Linked DNA regions of Caenorhabditis elegans. The protein of the gene in region 1 interacts with the protein of each later gene in a pairwise test. Each region holds a gene or a part of one and is shown in the gene's direction. Other genes may lie near its edges. The genes, in order: B0353.1, F42H10.3 and aspm-1.

Region 1 (4,911 bases):
CAAGCTTCTGGTCACATTTTCGGCATCCTATTGTTTAAATCAATTTTCCTCTGTTTCAAAGTAGTTACTCTATACAATTTTTCTGCAGAAATTTCGTGCAAAAAACGAAAAAGAACCGTTTTCATTTCAGTTTTCTCCCGATTCAGAATGAATTCTGACTCATTTCGTTTTCCCCCTTTTCCTATCACTCTTCTTTGCTTTATATTTACTGCTTTTCCTTTTTTTCTGAATTTTTTGAGTTTTCATTTTCATGAAATCAAAAAATGCACCTTTTCCCAATTTTAATTTTCCAGGGAATGGACTACGACGTGGACACCTTGAGATCTGCAAAAAGCAATCGAGACGCCAGCCATCGGTACTACAATATGCTTATTCAGGTTAGTTTTTTTTTAAAAGATTTATTACATTTTGAATTTTCAACATAAATTTACGAGTTTGGATGTGTTGCAAAAATCCCCGTAAATCCACACTAGTCTGTGTAAATATATAAGATTTATTTTGACATTCCAAAAAATTATCCTTAAAGCCTGAGAAAAAAAAACTTGTATTTCTACACAAACTTTTTTTTGTAATTTTTTTTGTACCAGCCGCTGTAAATCAAAACGAGCTGCCGTAAATCTACAAAGGCCTCTGCAAAAAAAGAACATAGAAATGCGTTTTTGTAATTCTACAAACATTTCTTCAAATTTACATAAAATATTATTCCGTAAATCGACACAAGCTCGCGTAAATCGACACAAACTCCCATAAATCCACATAAACTTCCGGCATCTTCAAAAAGTTTCCGTGAACTTACTAAAGTTTTTGTAAATCCACACCAGCTCCCTTAAACCTACAAAATCCTTCAAAAATTGACGAAAACTACACTTAATCGACAAGAACCTTTGTAAATCTACAAAAATAATTTCTAGTCTATAAGAATCTCCGTAAATCTACCAGAGCTTCGGTAAATCAATTTCTCAGAACAGTTTTCAATCCACTTTTCGGGTTTTCTCACCTCTTCACACGATCGTTCCTCCAATTTCCATCGCATCCCATCCAAATATGGTAAAACTAATTACATACAGAATCCTCTGTTTCCATCCACTTTTTCGTCCATTCCTCCGTCACTTCAAGGAGAAGAAGACAAGGTCAATGTCTACTACAAGTGTCTATGTGACCATCTCCATGTCATTTTCTCCTTTTACATACTGCTTTGTGCCTTTTGATGAGTGTTTTCTTCTAACACTGACACGGAACTGCTTCCTTTTGTGTGATTTCTCCAGTTTTCTAGATCTTTTTTTAAAATATTTTTTGATAAGTATTCAGCTTTTTCCTAGTCACTGTAGTTGTAAATTGAAAACACCTAATCTTCGTAAATCTACAACAGTTTTCGTAAATCTACGCTAGTCTTTGTAAATATACATGAATTACCGTAAATCCACATGGACACTTCTGAATCCACATACCGTAAATTCTCTATCAGTACTGCAGTCTCTAATAGTGTTGCATTCAAAAAGGACCTGAAAATTAGTGCGACATGCAGCACTAATAGAGAATATACGGTAACCTTTCGTAAATCTTTTTTAATGATCGTAAATCGACATTAGATTTTTGTTTTGATCTTACACTACTTTCCGTAAATCTACAATAGCCCCCGTAAATGTACTCAAGCTACGTGAAATTCTAGTAAATCTACATGGAACCTTGTTAATGTATAATACAATAAACTTTAAAAAGTTTTTTACTTTAAAAAATTTCCAATTTCGGCGCGTCAAAAACAGTTCTTTTGTTGTTTTTTTTTTTTTGGCTTTTTTGATTGTTTTTTTTGCGAAAAGGGCGGGGCCTAGTTTAATATAAAACCCCTGACACAGGAAAATTGAAAATTGAAACATGGAAAAAGAAACAAAAATATTCTGTTTTGATTCACTGCTAGACGTTACTGTACGGTGTTGGAGAATCAATGGAATCAACAGGAGACGGATCAGTGAGGCTTATGAGGTGGGGTACTGTAGAGATACATGAAATTTATTAGCTGGGAAAATATTAGGGAGAAATTTTGGGTAAATTTCATATAGTTGACAAAATTTTGATATATTCAGTTTCAAGAAAATTGTGGCTGTTTGAAAAAAGGTTTCTATTTTTAAAAAAATATGGAAAAAATTAATTAAAAATTGTTTTTTTGTTTTGTTTTCAGAGAGTTAAAACGAAAATACTGTAGAAAAATAAAAAATTGCCAAAAATTGTAAAACTAAAATACTGTAGAAAAATAAAAAATTGCCAAAAATTGAGTAGCTTCCGTAAATCTACAAGGACTTATTAATAGGTAAAGCGACATGTGTCTCCGTAAATCCACACTTCGTAAATGCACGCTCTCTACATACAGATACTTTAGAAGATATGAAAATTTGTCAATTGACAAAATACTGTACAAAAAATTGCTTTCACTATGCCAGTTGACTTTTTCCGAAAATTTCAGGCCCTTACCCATTTTCCAAAGTCTGTTTACCAGCTGGCGGCAGGGTATTATAATGTGTTTATGCTCATATTATTGTTGCTCTTTTCCTCCCCCATCTCCTAAGAGTCTATGTATTGTTGTGCTCTTTCCTCTCAGGCTCTCGGCCGTCTTGTTACAACCACGCGCAGGTGTTCCGAAATGGCTCCAATTTCTAAGAGTATGCTAATTTTAGTGAATAAACTCATTTTTAATATTGAAATTTTGGGAATCTACGTATAAAATTGTTTTTTGTTTTTCAATTTAAATTTGGTTATTTCGTAAGTTATGTTTGAAAATAGGGTCCAGTAACATCCAAAGCAGACAAAAATTGCCGTTCGGCAAATCCGGCAAATCGGCAAAGTGCCGGTTTGCTGATTTGTCGGAAATGTTCAATTCCGGCAATTCGCTGGTTTGTCAATTTGCCAGAAATTTTCATTTTGGCCTATTGCCGATTTGACGTTTTTCAGAAATTTATTGGACAGTGTAGCGATAGCTCCTATATTTTATAGGACAAAGAGCATTCGGTGTTGTCAATTTCTAAAAGTGTATTTTTCAAACGTATGAAAATATTTAGAAAAAGTATCAAAAATTAGCGAACTGTAAGATCTGCAAAAAAGGTCAACTTTAGTAAAATTGAAATAGAAAACTGCTCTTCAGTACTTGAAGGGAAATGTTGAAATGAAATCGACATCCAAAAAATGCTCTCTAAACCTGATAAACTCAAATTTCACCACCTGTACTGCTCTTGTAACTGTATGACCTTTGCATAAATGTTGCATAAATACATCTGTCTGTTTGTCTGCGTATCACCCGAACATTCCATTGTCTGCCTGGCGTCTCTCAACTCCTCACACGCTCTTCTCACTCGTCACCTGTACCTCTTCTTGGCGGGAGATTGGCGGACGTTGGTGACACCCTGTACTCTTTCCTCGTTTTCTCTGCCGTCTCTCATTGAGTCTGTATTACTTTCTCTCTCTCGTGGAATCGTATCTTCTTACCTTTTAATGTACATAAACAAATTTCGCCGGCGCGTGTATATTTGTATGTGTGTGAGGGGTACTATAGAAGGGCACTGTTCCCTTTTATTTTCGACTCTGAATCTCTTTTTCTCTTGTTGAAATATTAGACAATTTTGGCACTCAAATGAAAAGAGCGATTTTGGATGTCAAATTTCTCTAACTTATGAACATTCGAAACAAATTCAAACTTGCATAACTTTCCATATTTTATTAGTTGACAACTTTTTGCTAGGACTTTTGATTTTCGGGTTCTTACAGTTTCTTCATTTGTACAAGTTTTCAACTAAAAAATTAGAGCTTACAAAATTTGCAAAAACTTTGCTACCTCACCTAATAACAGAGGAATGCTAATTTAAATTTGGTTTTGACACGTTGTGAAAGCCTGTCCCATCACGGTTTGGTCTACAAAAAATGCGGGAATCTTTTGCTCAAAAAATGTGTCAGCAGCAGCACGTTCTTAACCACGCGAAATCAGTTGAGAACTCTGCGCCTCAATTCCCGCATTTTTTGTAGATCTACGTAGATCAAACCGAAATGAGACAATCGGACAACACAATTTCTTAAAATAGTTTTTGTTTCAAAATTCCAATTTTCTATGCCATTTTTCGTTTAAGCAATTTTTCAAACAGTTCTAAATTTTGGAAAATTTCAAGAAAAAGAGCAAACGACCGGTTTTTCGAAAAACTTTTTTTTTCAGTAAATACTTTTGCAAGTTTTTGTAAAATACAAACCAATATTTTTTGTTATCCAATGTATGGAATTCCAATGACTCATTCAAATTCTTTCCCTCTCTCCCAATTTTATCAATAAGTTTCTTCCGCCATCATTTTTCCGCCTCCAGTACATTTTAGCAGTTATTTCGAAAGTTTCGTCTAAAACTGCTCTTTTCTTGAATTTTTTTTAGATTTACCTTTTCTTGTTGCTCTTTTCTTAAATTTCATTATAGAAAATTTCCAGAGACCCATTATATCAAATACTTTTTCTTCTTCCAAAAAATGATGAGTGGAGTGCCACCACTAAAGGTAAGAAGATACGTACTTTTTGGTGGGGTCAAGATTGTAACTGTATCTAGATTTTATCTAGATATACTATTAGATATAATTTATAATATTCACTGGTAATCTGGATAAACAAGAAACAATTTTTTTGCACTTTTTTAATTAAAAAAAACATTTTAAAAAGTCTTAAACCTTTTTTTAAAAGTTTTCTGAACATTTCGAAGGAACTTTCAACATTTTTCTCATAAGATCCAATTTTTCAAAATCCCAAAAATTATCTAGTATCGATTATTTTTCCTGCACATATTCATTCCCGATACCACTTGAACATCTGAGCGGCACGACGGAACAAAAGGACAGAAAAAAAGTATAGAGGCGCAGAGATACAAACAGTTCCAAATACAATTTATTACGGGCG
Region 2 (6,443 bases), 7.9 Mb from region 1:
TATATTTGTTTAAGTTTCTATCAAGGATTGCAAAAAACCAAAATCATGTGTTCTTGGGTAAATATGTCTCTTTTCTGGTGCCTAAGCCTGCGGTTTATTCAAATTGCCTAGAAAAATTTACAAACAATTTTAAACAAAACTTACAAAAGTTTTTCAACGTCGTTTTTTGCACATTTTTCGAATTCCGTTCAGCTTCAATACATTTTTTTTCCAAATTGGGTTTCAATATAAAAAAAAAACGTTTGAAATTTCATACAAAATGATGATGCATCATCAACATGTTGTATGCACGGCTTCTTCCAAGTGTTCACTTTTCACTTTACACCGCTTCCCCATCTTCTCTTCGCCGCCGGCTCCGAGGATGCGACCCGTATCTTTCTTATGTGGAGGGAGCTATTTTAAACTCAAAACTACTTTTTCGAAAATGAGCTTCTCAATAGACTAGTACCCTTTGCTTCGTCTTCTTCTTTTTTAATAGTTTCTTGAGAGGTCATCTACAATCCTTTTGAACTACTTTCAAAAATGGACAGATGCCTGCTCATTTTTTTGAAATTTGGACTCATTATAAAAGTATTATTTCGTAATTTACCGAACATTTAAAACAAAAACTCCTTCAAATCAAAATAATTTTTCCGGTTCTCTGTAAAATTGAATATTAATTGAAGCAAAAACTATAGTTGGGCTCCGAAAATCGCAAAAAAAGAAATGGAGGACATTTAAATTTTCGGGAAATATTATATATATATATATATATATATATATATATATATTATTAAATATTATTATATTATTCATATCGCCTCCACTACACTTTTGTTCATATATTATAATACATTTTTCATTTTCTTCCCAAACCAACAATACGTTTACCGCAACTTAATCGTTTGCCAAAACAAACCAAGTTCCCTGATTTCACTGATATGTGTGATAACAATGTGAGTATGGAAAGTCAAAATGAGCACAAACATAAATGTGTGAGAGTTGTGTGTAGTGTCTTGTCGGGGAGTGAAGAAGGGGGCTCCATGAATAAATAACACATTCTTCTTTCCCGCTATTTCTCAATTTTTTACCCGAAATCTTTGTACAATCACCCTATCCGCCCATTTCATCCCTCGTTCGTTTCTCGCCTCGTTTACTTTTACTCATACATTTTTTTGTCTATCCGTCATTTTCCTACCATTCTACATCCAACCTAACCTAACCATTCAATTTATTTACTCTATCTGTCTATGTTTCTTTGTTTCGCCTTATCTATCATTTATGCCATACAACTTTCGTTCCCGTCCAAGGGTGAAACTTTCCAAAAAGCATAGAATTTGGAAAGTATTTCCAAATTATAAATTAAAAAAAAATTTTGTTTTGTCTTAAAAGTTAGAATTATAAAGATTAAGGTTCAGCAAAGATAATACCTCAAATTGACAGATTTAATATTAAAATTTTCCGAAAAACCCAAATTTGATTTATTTAAACTGGCAACTTTTAATTTTACCACACATAATTTTATAAACCCAAAAATATATGTTTTTATTCTGATAGGGTAAAAATATGTGACAATTCTCAAAACTCTTATGAATTTTACCAATTTTTGCCAATTTACAAAAACATTATTATGATTTCTATTTGTATTTTTTTCTAGTTTATTCAAATATCTTCAATCTTCATATTCTACAGTTTTTATTTCCAGAAAATGAGCAAAAAGTGTGCTCGCGAAGATTGCGGGAAGACGGTATATCCAGTTGAGGAACTGAAATGTCTTGATAAAGTTTGGCACAAGCAATGCTTCAAATGCACTGTTTGCGGAATGACATTGAATATGAAAAACTATAAGGGATACGACAAGAGACCGTATTGTGATCCGTTAGTTTTTATGAGAATATTTCAATTTCTAAATTTTCAACTATTTTCAGACATTATCCAAAAACCGTGGCTTCAGTGATGGCGGATACTCCAGAAATGAGAAGAATCGCAGAGAATACTAAAAATCAGAGTAACGTAAGTTTTTGCAAAAAATTTAGAGAAAAAATAAATCGTCTCCCCATAAATCTCATTTATAATTAAAAAATATAACATTTGAGAATGTTATCCCAAAAATTGTAAAGAGTTTTTAAAATTCTTCCAAAAAATATCTGTAAAATATTTGTAAAATCAAAATCAAAAATATTATAAAATCTACACAAATAAATTTTGTCGAATTCGGCACTTAAAAAATTTGTAGTGGTGTCAAATTATGGATTCTCAAAAAAAGGATCTCGCCACGGAAACTACTGTAAATCAAGTTTTCTTGAAGAGTTCTAATATAATGTTCATCTTAGTATATAATGAGAATTTTCCATACTAAAAATGTAAAAATTAACTCAAATTTGAGTTTATAAAATATACGAAATTTTCAAATTCTTCGAGTTTCCAAAATTTCGAAAAAACACAAAAAAAACTATAAACAAAATAGCTAGTTTTATTCAATAAAACCTGCTACTTCCTATAACTGATTTTCAAATTTTCATAATCTGAAATTTTAGATCAAATACCACGCCGAATACGAGAAAATGAAGGGAACAAAGATCGAAATTGCTGATGATCCAGAGATGGAAAGACTGAAGAAAAATACTCAGGTTGGAAATAAATTTTTAAAGATAGAATAGAATAATGCTATTTTAAGGTTCAATCAAATGTTTCCTATCACGGAGTTCTCGACCAAAAAGCTCGTCAAGAAGAAGTCCGTCCAAAAGAGGAAATCTCACCAAACCCAACTCCAAGTAAGTTGTTCTTCCATTTTGTTGTCCCCATGGACTTGAGAATTGTATCGTCCAAGTTATGTCAAAAGTCTTGCACGGGAAAAACTTTTAATTCTTTTTTCAATTTTCCTCACTTTTCTCTTATTGTTTTTGTATCGCTTTTTACTGCCAGTTTATCAACTGGTCACTGGAAATGGAGGAGTTGTGTATGGAATTGGAGTGGCAATGGTTCAAGAAACTGAAGAGAAGTATGAAGAAAAAGAAGTTGATGAGGAAGAAGAAGACGATGATTATTGGCAAATTCCGGTGATTGTATATCCTAGATAGAATTCGCTTTTTTTTTAGAATTAGTTTTCAATGTTTCTTTTTTCATATTTACCATATTCTCTGAAACTGTACTGGAAACATTTTGTACACTTTTGGCACATTTTGAGGGGAAATATGGTATATCGATATCTAGATTAGATACGTTTTGTTTGTTTTCTTCTACCTCATCTTTGCTTTTTTCAGCTAGCCATAATTCTAGAGCAGATATTTATAATCAATCTTAAAGTGTTCTTGCTCAAAGCTGAAAGAAAATTACTAAAGACTCTCGCTTATTGAAAATTGTAAAAACTATGTGGGACAAGTTCTTGCCAAATTTTGGCAAAAGTATTAACTTGGTTGTTGCTCTAGGTCGCGCCAATATTCAGTCCAAAATTGGTCTAACAATATATATAGCCAAATTTGACATGACAAATTTTGAATCAAATATTTTTATCAGGATTAGGTTAATCTAAACTTAAGTTTTGTCCAGATTTGGACTAAACTTTGCCAACTTTTCAGCCAGGTACATACTTTTTTAGGCCAAACAGATAACAGAGTTTTCTTCTAAAAAAATAACACTGTTTTTAAAGAAGAATATCTTAGATGTTCTACAATTGAAAAAGCAAACTTGCAGTGTTGTTTCTAGAAAGCTGAATTCTTCATTCAGTTAGTATATAGAATTATAGAAAACTTTCCAAAATGGCTTTGAGTGAAAATACTTTTTAGATTGAACTTTAATTTTCAACTTCTTTTCGTGTCATATCAATGTCCTAATGTTCACTTATTTCTCAAATCTCTTCATTTGTTTCATACAAAATACACCTTCAGGTGTTGTTGTTCCACCACAACCCACTGAGCCCACTCCAGCTCCATCCGTCCCAGTTATTGACCAAAAGCCGAAAGCAGTCAAATCGACTTTTAAGAAAGGGCCAGCCAAAACTGTTAAAGCTTAATTTTCCTTTCAGTTCGATTTCTGATCATGACTATTATTTTTCTATCTATTCAAATCCTACATTAACCATGACAAACTGATTTTTTCAATAAAGAATACATTTAATTAAAGAATTATTTCCAACAAATCAATCTTCTCCATTTTTCAACTCACTTTTTTTTTCCACTAACCATTTATTGCAGCTCCAATCTCTCCAATGAACCATCAATCATATTCGGCTCCAACACAAGCAGTAGCCGCAAATACGCATTTGATCTACTCAACAGAGCAAGGTGGAGCAGGTTAGTTAGCAATTGAATTGATTAATGAGCATCCAAAAAGAGCACCTTGTGTATTGAAAAACTGATTGAATGCCTATAAAAGTTATTGCTGATTTTGTTGCTGATTTTTGTACGGATACATTATTTGACCAAAAATTAAGATAATGCTAGGTCTCAGTCTAAGCCTAGCCTAAGTCTAAGCCTAAGCCTAAGCCTAACCTCTTAAAAAGTTACAATAAGGTTTTTCCTTGCGCTTGGAGCGCAAAAGAAAAGAAAAAGAGCTATTTAGACTTAGGGTGCCCAACTGGAATAAAATATAGGAAATCCTTATGACACACTTAAGCCTAAGGGCCCGAAAAAAAACTAGGATGCCCAACTGGAATAAAATATTGGAAATCCTTATGACACACTTAAGCCTAAAGGGCCGAAAAACATACTAGGATGCCCAACTGGAATAAAATATTGGAAATCCTTATGACACACCGGCGGTATGGCGCGGCTTCAGCCTAAATAGCCACTTTTATCGCGCGTCAGTGGGGGAGCTAACGCTCCCCCACTGACGCCAAGCCTAAGCCTTGTCTAATTTATGGTATCTAGTTATATAAAGTCCAAATTTTTCGTTGTGCTTCATGTGTAATTTTCTAAAAGCTTTTGTGTTGTGCATTGTTATTTTTCTTCGCTTTCAGTATCTCCAACACCACAAAAATCAATCGGAAGTATTGCTGACTATGATCCAATGAACGGACAATGGGGTACAGCTGCTGCTCAACCGAGAAATTCCGAGAAACTTGGATATTTGAGTAAGGATTTTGTTTTTTTTTTTGGCTTTTGTTTGAATGATTTGCTCATTTGTAATCCACACAAATTTTTTGCACGTTTTGGTACTTATTAATTCGTTTTGTGGAAGAAATAATCTTTTAAAAAGCTCATTTTGAATAATTTTGATCTGTCATTAATTGAAACTAACCGCTTGTTGCAGAGGCTCAAGTGGATAAAGGTCCGGCAAGATTTTGTGCGGATTTTGCAGGAGCTCCACCTCCATCATCAAATAGTATATCTTCAACATCTCCACATTCAACACTTTCTTCTCCACAAAGCACAATTTCACCGACTGGAAAAGCTGGATTTGCAGTTAAGGCAATTTATGATTACGCTGCTGCTGATAAAGACGAGGTAAATTTAAATTAGGTTTTCAACCAGTTTCACGATGAAAATTTATTCAACCATCTAAAATATTTGATTCCAGATTTCATTCCTCGAAGGTGATATCATCGTGAACTGCGAGAAAATTGATGATGGATGGATGACAGGAACAGTTCAACGAACTCTTCAATGGGGAATGCTACCTGCAAATTATGTTCAACCACATAAACTTCCTACCGGATTGCACCGACTTTCTTAATATTTCCAAACCCACGCACATTTTCTATCTCTCCATGACCTGCTCTTGCTCACACATTTCCCCTAAATGCTTCAATTATGCTTCAGGCTTCTGCAGTTATTTTTTCAACTTTCTGAAAATCCCACAAACGGGTTCTGTTCACCTTCTGAATGCCTTTTCTCCATTTGTTTTTCAATCTTCTAAAATGTTATATGGTGCTGAAATTTAAAAATTAAAAATTATAATAAATGAATTTACTATCAATTATTAGGCCATTGTCATAAATAATAAACCGTGTCTATAAGGCACATGAGAACAAAATATACAGATCTAAATTATACTAATCTTATAATATTAGAAAAAGTCTCCAGCATTTGCTCTATCTGCAGCTCCGGCTGATGTTGAAGGTCCGACGTTATCCCCTTTTCTTCGGATCATAGATTCAATCCCAGGTGTGCCAGGAGTTTGTGCTCCTTGGCTCCAAGATGATCCAGGTGTAGTAGAACCACGACTCCATGCAGAACCAGGAGTTGTGGATCGCTTTGAACTTGACGGTCTTGACCAATTCGACATGATTTTCGGCGAGGCGAAAGGAGATTTGTGAGCAGGTAACATTTTTAATCCAAGCTTCTTGGTTGCCAACTTTTGAGCAGCAGGAGATAATTGTGCAAGCTTGTCTGAGACTCGCTTGGATCCAAATCCAGGTGTTCGGCTGAAACTTTACCAAGTTGAAAATTATTTGAAGTACTATTATCTCGTTATAGATTTTAATACCATAGAGAAATATATTTTATAACTTGAAAAAATAAACA
Region 3 (7,239 bases), on another chromosome or scaffold:
AAACCAGACCTTGCAAAATTAACTGGTTACTTGTTTTGTTCCGACAGTATATTTAAAATCCAACTTACGACTAGAAATAGCTTGAGCTCAGTGAAAACCATTTCCTCTTGTTCTTCTGGTAAAACATTATGGAATTGACTGAATGGTGTTGGAATGGACATATACCATGGTGATGGTTCATCACAGACACGTACTCCTTGCCATTTGCTCACTAAAAGATACGAAATTAACAAAAAACTTTGCTTTTTCAAATCTTACACAAACTACGGCGAATATCCCTCCACGGCTCTCTATCCTTGTGAGCAGTTCGCATCATCTAAAAATTTAAATTTTACTTAAACGGAATTACTGTGAGCAAGAGAACAAGGGAAAATACACGGAAAATCAAATAACGACTAGAAAATAATTAAAATAAAAAGAAATGACTAAAGATCCGGCGAGAATTGTTGATTTGTGTCTAACACGAGTCCATCTTTCACTTCAATTATGGACTTATTTTCGCGGGAATATTGAAATTTCGGGCTTTTTCCATAAATCCATTTCCAGGCTTTCAACTCATCAAAGATTTTCGATATTTCTGCATTTTTCTTCACTTCCTCTGCAACATTCACAGTTTTTATATGTGATTCTTCGAACAGTTTTCTGAAATTTTTTAATGATTGGAAGTTTTTAGTTGCTCCGTTCACCTATAAGCTTCAACAATGGCTAATTTTGATTGTTCGACATTTGCATTGGCATCATCTTGTTTCAGAAATCCAACAGCCGGAGCTCTTACGCTTCTTGTAGCATTTGATTCGATTTTATCTCTCCATGGAGATTTCAAAGATTTTGATAATACTTGAAGATCCGCACCGACGAGGAGTGTTAGATGGTGATAGGCTTGACCTCTTAAATTATTCACATAACAAGTGTTTAAAATATTTTTTTTAAAAATACCGCGCAATTCTTGCAGCTGTTCCTGAGCATTTCCGTTCTCCTGGATGTAGTTCCATGTCATCACGCTTGTTTGGAACGATTTTAACAGAAAATTGTTGATTTAGAGCATCCGAAATGAACTGGAAATAATAAAATGATATTTTTATTATTTTGAAAAATGATATTAATACCTTCAAGTTTTTTGGCCGACAGTGTTGTGCGTGTGTTGTTAAAAGTGAAATATTCAGATTTCCTAGATCATGATAAACAGTGCCTCCTCCACTGTGCCTTCGGACAATTTGAATATTATTTTTGTTAGCATATGGTATGTTGACTTCAATCCACGGATTTTGATGTCTTCCGATGACTACAGCCGGTCGATTACTCCACATGAGCAGGATTTCCCCGTTTTGAGCGACATTGTGAGTCTGAAATCAAAAACTATAGCAAAGGCACTGAAATTACTGCTGAACTGACCCTGAAAATATGCTCCTCATACGCAAGATTTTCGAAAATGCAGCTTGACGTGGATTTCAGAACTGTGGACAATTTTCCGCGTGATATAGAACACATTTAACAAGAAAAATAAATTAGGAAAAGGTAAGAAAACTGTTTATTTGCAAGATTTGAGAAGAAGAGATTGCTAGCATTAAGGAGACGCAGACATTCAGTAATTGCGCTCCATTTATGACATTGTGGCGCGAGCGTTCAAAACATAAATTTTACTTTTTTTTCATTGATTTTTGTTTGATCTAAATTTCCGAAAGCTACCTGAAAACTGTTTAACGCTTTTCTACTATAAAATCGTCACCTTAAAATCTTTTTTAAAATATAATTTTTGTGTGAATTATAAAAATGCACAGTAGCAGTTTAAAGGCACACTTCTTAGTTCAAAGAAATGGTCTTATCACGATTACAGTACCCAACCTGAACGCGGCGCGAATTCCGGATTTATCCCCAAAACGTTTTTTTCCTCCGTTTTAGGTGGCCATTTGTACCGCGTCCAAAACGCGTAAAAGTCCCCAAATTGTCTTCTTTGTTCGACAATTGCACTGAAAACTGACAAAAAACTAACAACATCGGGACTTTTTCGCGTTTTGGACTCGGCATTGAAACTAATATCGCTGTGTCTTCCTTCCTGATTTATTCGTCTTTATTTTTTGTATTTTTCAGAATCAAAATGGATAATAACGTTGAGGATAAAAAAGAGGCAATGCTCAAACGATTAGCAAATCGACACGGTAACAAGATATTTATACTTTATCTCATTATTTATTTTCTTCCTCTTTCAGAGAAACGCCTTCTTGATCAAGTCAAATCGAACACAAAGAAGATCGATTTGAGAGCAACCGAGCGAGCCTTTTTGGAGTCGAGTCCGACTTCAATGAATATGCGAACTCCTCTCAATCCTTCAATCAGCTCTTCTGTATCAGATTCCCCGATTCTATCATATGATGAGAAAGCCAACAAGCAAATTATTGCACTCGCCACGTGGTGCAACACAATGATGGAATTGGATGTGTCTGAAGAGATGGATCTAGGAGAGTCGAAAGCAGAAGCCTGCAGAAATATCCAAAAAATGTTGAAGAAAAGATCAGATACGTCAGAAGTGGAAAATACACAGGAAAATGCACGCAGGAGATATCAACGGATTTTTGAGAAAAATGATCCAGAAGTTGTGAAGAAAAAGTGCAAGCAGCTTCTAGACGATTCAGGAATGGATGCAAGCATCAAGGATCTTCTGTCCAAAAACAACGTCGCAATCCGAAAAGAACATGCCGTATATAATGACATAGGCCTCCAAACAACTCTTCTTCACACATTTCTATCATTCCATCCTGCTTGGCTGAAAACTGCTCTTGAAGCAATCTTTAACACGAGAATTGACGCTCAACCGAAGCATTTAATGAAAAAACTTTCTCAGTTTTTCCTCGATCTAGTTTTCTCAAATCCGACGATGCTAAAGAACAAGAAATTTGCACAAGGTTCTGGAAAGTAAGTTGCTGATTTCAGAGGATGAACGAGTTCGTTAAAATTATGCCTAATCAAATTTTTGCAGACCGATCATCACTGAGGCTGGCAAAGAAGCTCTACACAAGCATTTTCTGTCCGTCTCGATGAAGCTGATGTTCTTGATTGAAACGGCACACACTCATCGAGTTATCCCGAATCTGACGAGAATCTTCACGAAGTCCTCTCATTTCAATTGTCTCGACGATGTGTTCTCCGAACTGACGAAGGAATTGTTGACTGGAAGCTCTGCTACTTTCAAAAAAGCGTTTGCAAAAGTCGGTTTTATTCCGACTTACCGACAATCATTCATTGAAAATTACGACTACCAAGCGAAAGGATTTTCAGATTTCTCGGATGGTCTAATTTTGGCGTGAGTTTCTAGAAAGATTTCTTATAAATTACACGAGCTTTTCCTCATTCAACAACAAATGTTATCACTGTCCCTATTTCCACCGATCATAACCTATTTTTCAGAAAGCTGTTGGAAACTGTCGGAGAGATGCCGCATGGTCAAATTCTGTTGAAGTTACGTGATCCAGCAGGCGACCGCATCCGCAAAATTGGAAACGTGAAGATTGTACTCCAGGAGATGTCTTCTTTGGGTGTTCCAACGGATAATGTTAACGCCGAATCAATCGTTGGCGGAAAGAAAGACGAGATTTTGTCTATTTTGTGGGCTATTATCGGAGTTCGTGTGGCCAAGGAACAAAGAATCAAGGTGACGAGAGTTTCTGAAGAAAGAACTCCGAAAAAGCGGCGATCTGCTGTCCACGATGACATGTCTTCTGAAGTATTAAAAATGTGCAAGATTTACGGAAGACAGATGGAAATCGAAGTCATGGACTTGGATTCACTCTCCGATGGGTGCCTTCTGGCCAAGTTGTGGACCACTTTCGGAACAAATTCAACACCGATTCAGGACTATGATGGACTCAGTCTGTGGGAGAAAGTTGTTTCAGTTGCCGAGTTGGAGCTTTGTATTCAGCGAGGACTTGATCAGAACATGGCTCTTTTCGTAAAAATGTTTCTGGAACGACTGGGTATGATTCAAGATCTAAATGAGAAAGCGACCAAGATTCAACGAATGTGGAAGGCCTACGTGCAAAGAAAGGTATTCATCAAAAAATAAAGTTATTTATATTATAATTCACTTTCAGAATACTCCCAAGCTGTATTTCATTGTACAACAACTTCTTGCCGACTCATCAATTCCTCGAAACCGAAGTGTTTCTCCATTCTCTAATAATGTCACTTTCACAGTACCGAGGACTCCACGGAATAATATTCTGACTGAAAGACCATCTCTATCACAAATCCCATCGTCTCGCCAATCAATGGATTCTACCTTCAACGATGCGACGTTTACTGTTTCACGTGATTCAATTGAAAGCATGAACAAGATGCAGAAAACTCCACTGAGAGGTACATTCACAAGAAAAACAATTGCGATGGTTATCGAGGAAGAGGATGATTCGGAAAATAACGAAACGGTCGTACCAAGTACATTGAAAAAGAGAACCGTTGTCAGAATGGAGCACAATGCGGAAGTATTCAGAGAACAAGATGAAGATGATGAAAACCAAGACAAAGACACTGTTGCTCCTTCCGCTGAGAACTTGGATAGTCCACCTTCAGACATCCCATTAGAAACTCTTTCTTCTATTCCTTCCGCTTCCCAATCTGCCATATTTCTTCAAGACTCTGAAACTGGCAAAGAGATGCATGTCCCTAAAGCTGAAGATGTCGGCGTCGTAGTTCTTGAAGCATCAGATTCTCCGGTTGCACTAGAAGGGAACAATGAAGCAAGCTATGATGGTCAGAAAATTGAGAACTTAGAAACTTTTGAAATCAAAGAGGGCAAGACGCAAGAAGATCTACCTTCAAAATCTCCTATGGATCCTACGCAGACAAGCGGAAGCCCATTGGTTGAATTCAGAATGACAGAAGAACAGGAGCGTTTAGAGATGCTTTTCCAGTCATTATCAGAAGATCAGAAGAACTTCGTCAAGACGAATAACCTTAGTGTGTCTATTGAGGACGATGCCAACACTCCTGAACTTAGAAGGATCTTGAGACAAACCAGAGAACTCAAGAGAAAGCAACAGGAAATTGTGAGTCTATATCAAGTTTGACAGATTATTTAATGGTGGACTCAACAGTCAAAAAACGAAACATTTTTTGCTTTAAATGAGAGAACAGATCATAATGACCACATATAACTGTAAAAAATTGAACATTTTTCTAAATTTTTTAATGGGTTTTTTAAAAATTTTGTAACAATAAAAGAAGCGACTGATAAGGCCCGCCGAGATATTCGTTTTCCTGGAAAATTTGAATGGATTTTCTTTTCTCATCTGGCGTCTCAAATGGAAGCACAAAAAAATCCGAGAAAAACCAGTAAAATTAGCTGTAAAAACGGATATCTCTAAAAAGTGGTCAGGGCCTGGTTAAAAATGGTTAAAAGTTTCAGGCGAGAAAACTGGGAAACATCGAGAGAAATGCGTTAGCTGTTCGTGATGGCGGGGAGGATTCGTCCGACAGTAGATCAGATGCTGGGCACGATGTTGCTATCCTTCACGGTGACGACAGTCAACTCTTCGAAAATTCAATGCAATTGGATCAGAAATCTCAATTGCAAAATGATGAGACTCAAATTCTTGAGAATAAAAAGAAGGCAGCTGTTGTCATTCAGAAAATGATACGTGGTTTCATTGCACGGCGTAAATTCCAAATGGAAATTAGCAATATTCGCAATCGCATGATCCAATACAATCACATATTGGCGCAAGAAGACGAGCAAATTGGTATAGAAGAAATGGAGGATAAATCAGTCGAGGCAAAGTGAGAACTCTTTTTTTTTTAAATATATTTAAAAAAATTGATTTTCAGGCTAAAGAAATGCGCTCTTCATGGACTCACAAATGATAACCTTCACGTCGTTCATGTTGCTGCAACTGTCATCGGTATGTCGCAAATGAAAATTACGAAGAAGCTGCTTTTTGATCTGAAAGTCATAGAAACCAAAAGTTTATGAATATGCCGCCATGGATGATTTTCTTCGTCAATTGCAAAACCATACAACACATAGAAATGTTCATATTTTGCAGACCGAGTCACCGATCTTGTTCCATCACTTTTGGAAAAGCTTGTCGTCGAACTGAATGGCATCAAGTCGATCACTGATGTTTTGATTGTGGCGGATCGAGGATTCTCTTATACGAGCATTCTTCATCCATTATTGAATGTTCTCGAAAAATTATTCACGAAGATTCCCGAAGAAGTCACCAATTCGCATATTCTCCCTCACTTGAAGATTTTGTCGCCTCGCTTGATGCTACTGATGCTGAAGCACTCGGAAGTCAAGGAATTGTTTATTCCTATCATTAACACCTTGACTTCAATTGCTAGAAGATTCCCAGACAAAAAGCAATCGAGTTTTTCTTCATCAAGCTACTCAATCAAGCAGTCGCTCAAAAAAGTCAAGGATCAGGAGTGTCGGAATAAATTGGTCAGATTGGAAAGCATATGCGAAGATATGCTCTAAATTAGTCTCTGTTAAATATTAAATTCATCCCACCGTTTTGTGTATCATATCGTGAAAAAATACACACGGTTTAATTATTTTTATGTGAATATTTACCAATAAGATCAGTCAACCTGATGCTTATTTGGATTTTTTGGTATTTCATATTTGTTTCTTAAAGTCTGTTGTGAAGTAAAAACTTGATTTTAAATACTACCGTTTTTTTTAGAGTATGATGAATTTAGCTACTTTTAGAAATTCAAGAAGTCTGCTATTTTTCTCTGTTCCCTCTTTAAAATTTTTGAGTTTTGCACTTGTTGCGTAGCAGATGGCTCATCCGATTTGCAAATAGTTACTCGTCTTACTCTCCGTTCGCATTACACAGTAACCCTCCGACCATCTTTTTCTGCTCTTTTTTGTACTTTGTCACGTCATTCGGCTCCTGCTCCGCCTACTCAAAATTTTTATGGTTTTTTTCGAAAGTTTGAGAGAAGTAGTACTCGTTTTTCCGAATTTTTAAAATATTGTTCATTAGTTTTTATTAATTCCAGCTATATGCAGTGCCGGCCAAAAGTTGGTGATTTTTCAACAACAAAAAAAAATCAAAAGTAGCTACTTAAGTAGTAATTTTAAAAAACTTACCAGACAGGATTTTCATTATAACTTTGTCTAGATTTTGCTTTCCTCTGGAAAAAAAGTTGAAGCGGCTGACATCTACAGGAATAGATTTGTATATGTTCTCTTGCAACACATGTTTTTGAATTCTAAAGGCGCGTATGGGTCTCGCC

The links.
Region 2: the proteins of B0353.1 (region 1) and F42H10.3 interact in a two-hybrid assay, tested with the Caenorhabditis elegans proteins (one large-scale study listed by BioGRID).
Region 3: the proteins of B0353.1 (region 1) and aspm-1 interact in a two-hybrid assay, tested with the Caenorhabditis elegans proteins (one large-scale study listed by BioGRID).

The regions. Positions count from the first base shown.
Region 1 is NC_003281.10:555,657-560,567, forward strand, and holds the start of B0353.1 (ASD2 domain-containing protein), read left to right. Parts: upstream 1-1,861; 5' UTR 1,862-1,872; coding exon 1,873-1,980; intron 1,981-4,439; exon of another isoform or gene 4,440-4,490; coding exon of another isoform or gene 4,491-4,517; intron 4,518-4,911.
Region 2 is NC_003281.10:8,482,471-8,488,913, forward strand, and holds F42H10.3 (LIM and SH3 domain protein F42H10.3), read left to right. Parts: upstream 1-1,682; 5' UTR 1,683-1,687; coding exon 1,688-1,857; intron 1,858-1,907; coding exon 1,908-1,992; intron 1,993-2,516; coding exon 2,517-2,609; intron 2,610-2,656; coding exon 2,657-2,753; intron 2,754-4,172; coding exon 4,173-4,271; intron 4,272-4,936; coding exon 4,937-5,050; intron 5,051-5,229; coding exon 5,230-5,423; intron 5,424-5,496; coding exon 5,497-5,652; 3' UTR 5,653-5,895; downstream 5,896-6,443. Other genes in the region: Splicing factor ESS-2, read right to left, coding at 5,986-6,349.
Region 3 is NC_003279.8:9,221,240-9,228,478, reverse strand, and holds aspm-1 (Calponin-homology (CH) domain-containing protein), read left to right. Parts: upstream 1-2,088; 5' UTR 2,089-2,095; coding exon 2,096-2,156; intron 2,157-2,207; coding exon 2,208-2,910; intron 2,911-2,974; coding exon 2,975-3,298; intron 3,299-3,402; coding exon 3,403-4,039; intron 4,040-4,085; coding exon 4,086-5,039; intron 5,040-5,398; coding exon 5,399-5,769; intron 5,770-5,817; coding exon 5,818-5,891; intron 5,892-6,035; coding exon 6,036-6,472; 3' UTR 6,473-6,729; downstream 6,730-7,239. Other genes in the region: gip-2 (Gamma-tubulin interacting protein 2), read right to left, coding at 69-211, 259-316; lipt-1 (BPL/LPL catalytic domain-containing protein), read right to left, coding at 426-642, 687-887, 937-1,055, 1,107-1,343, 1,393-1,488.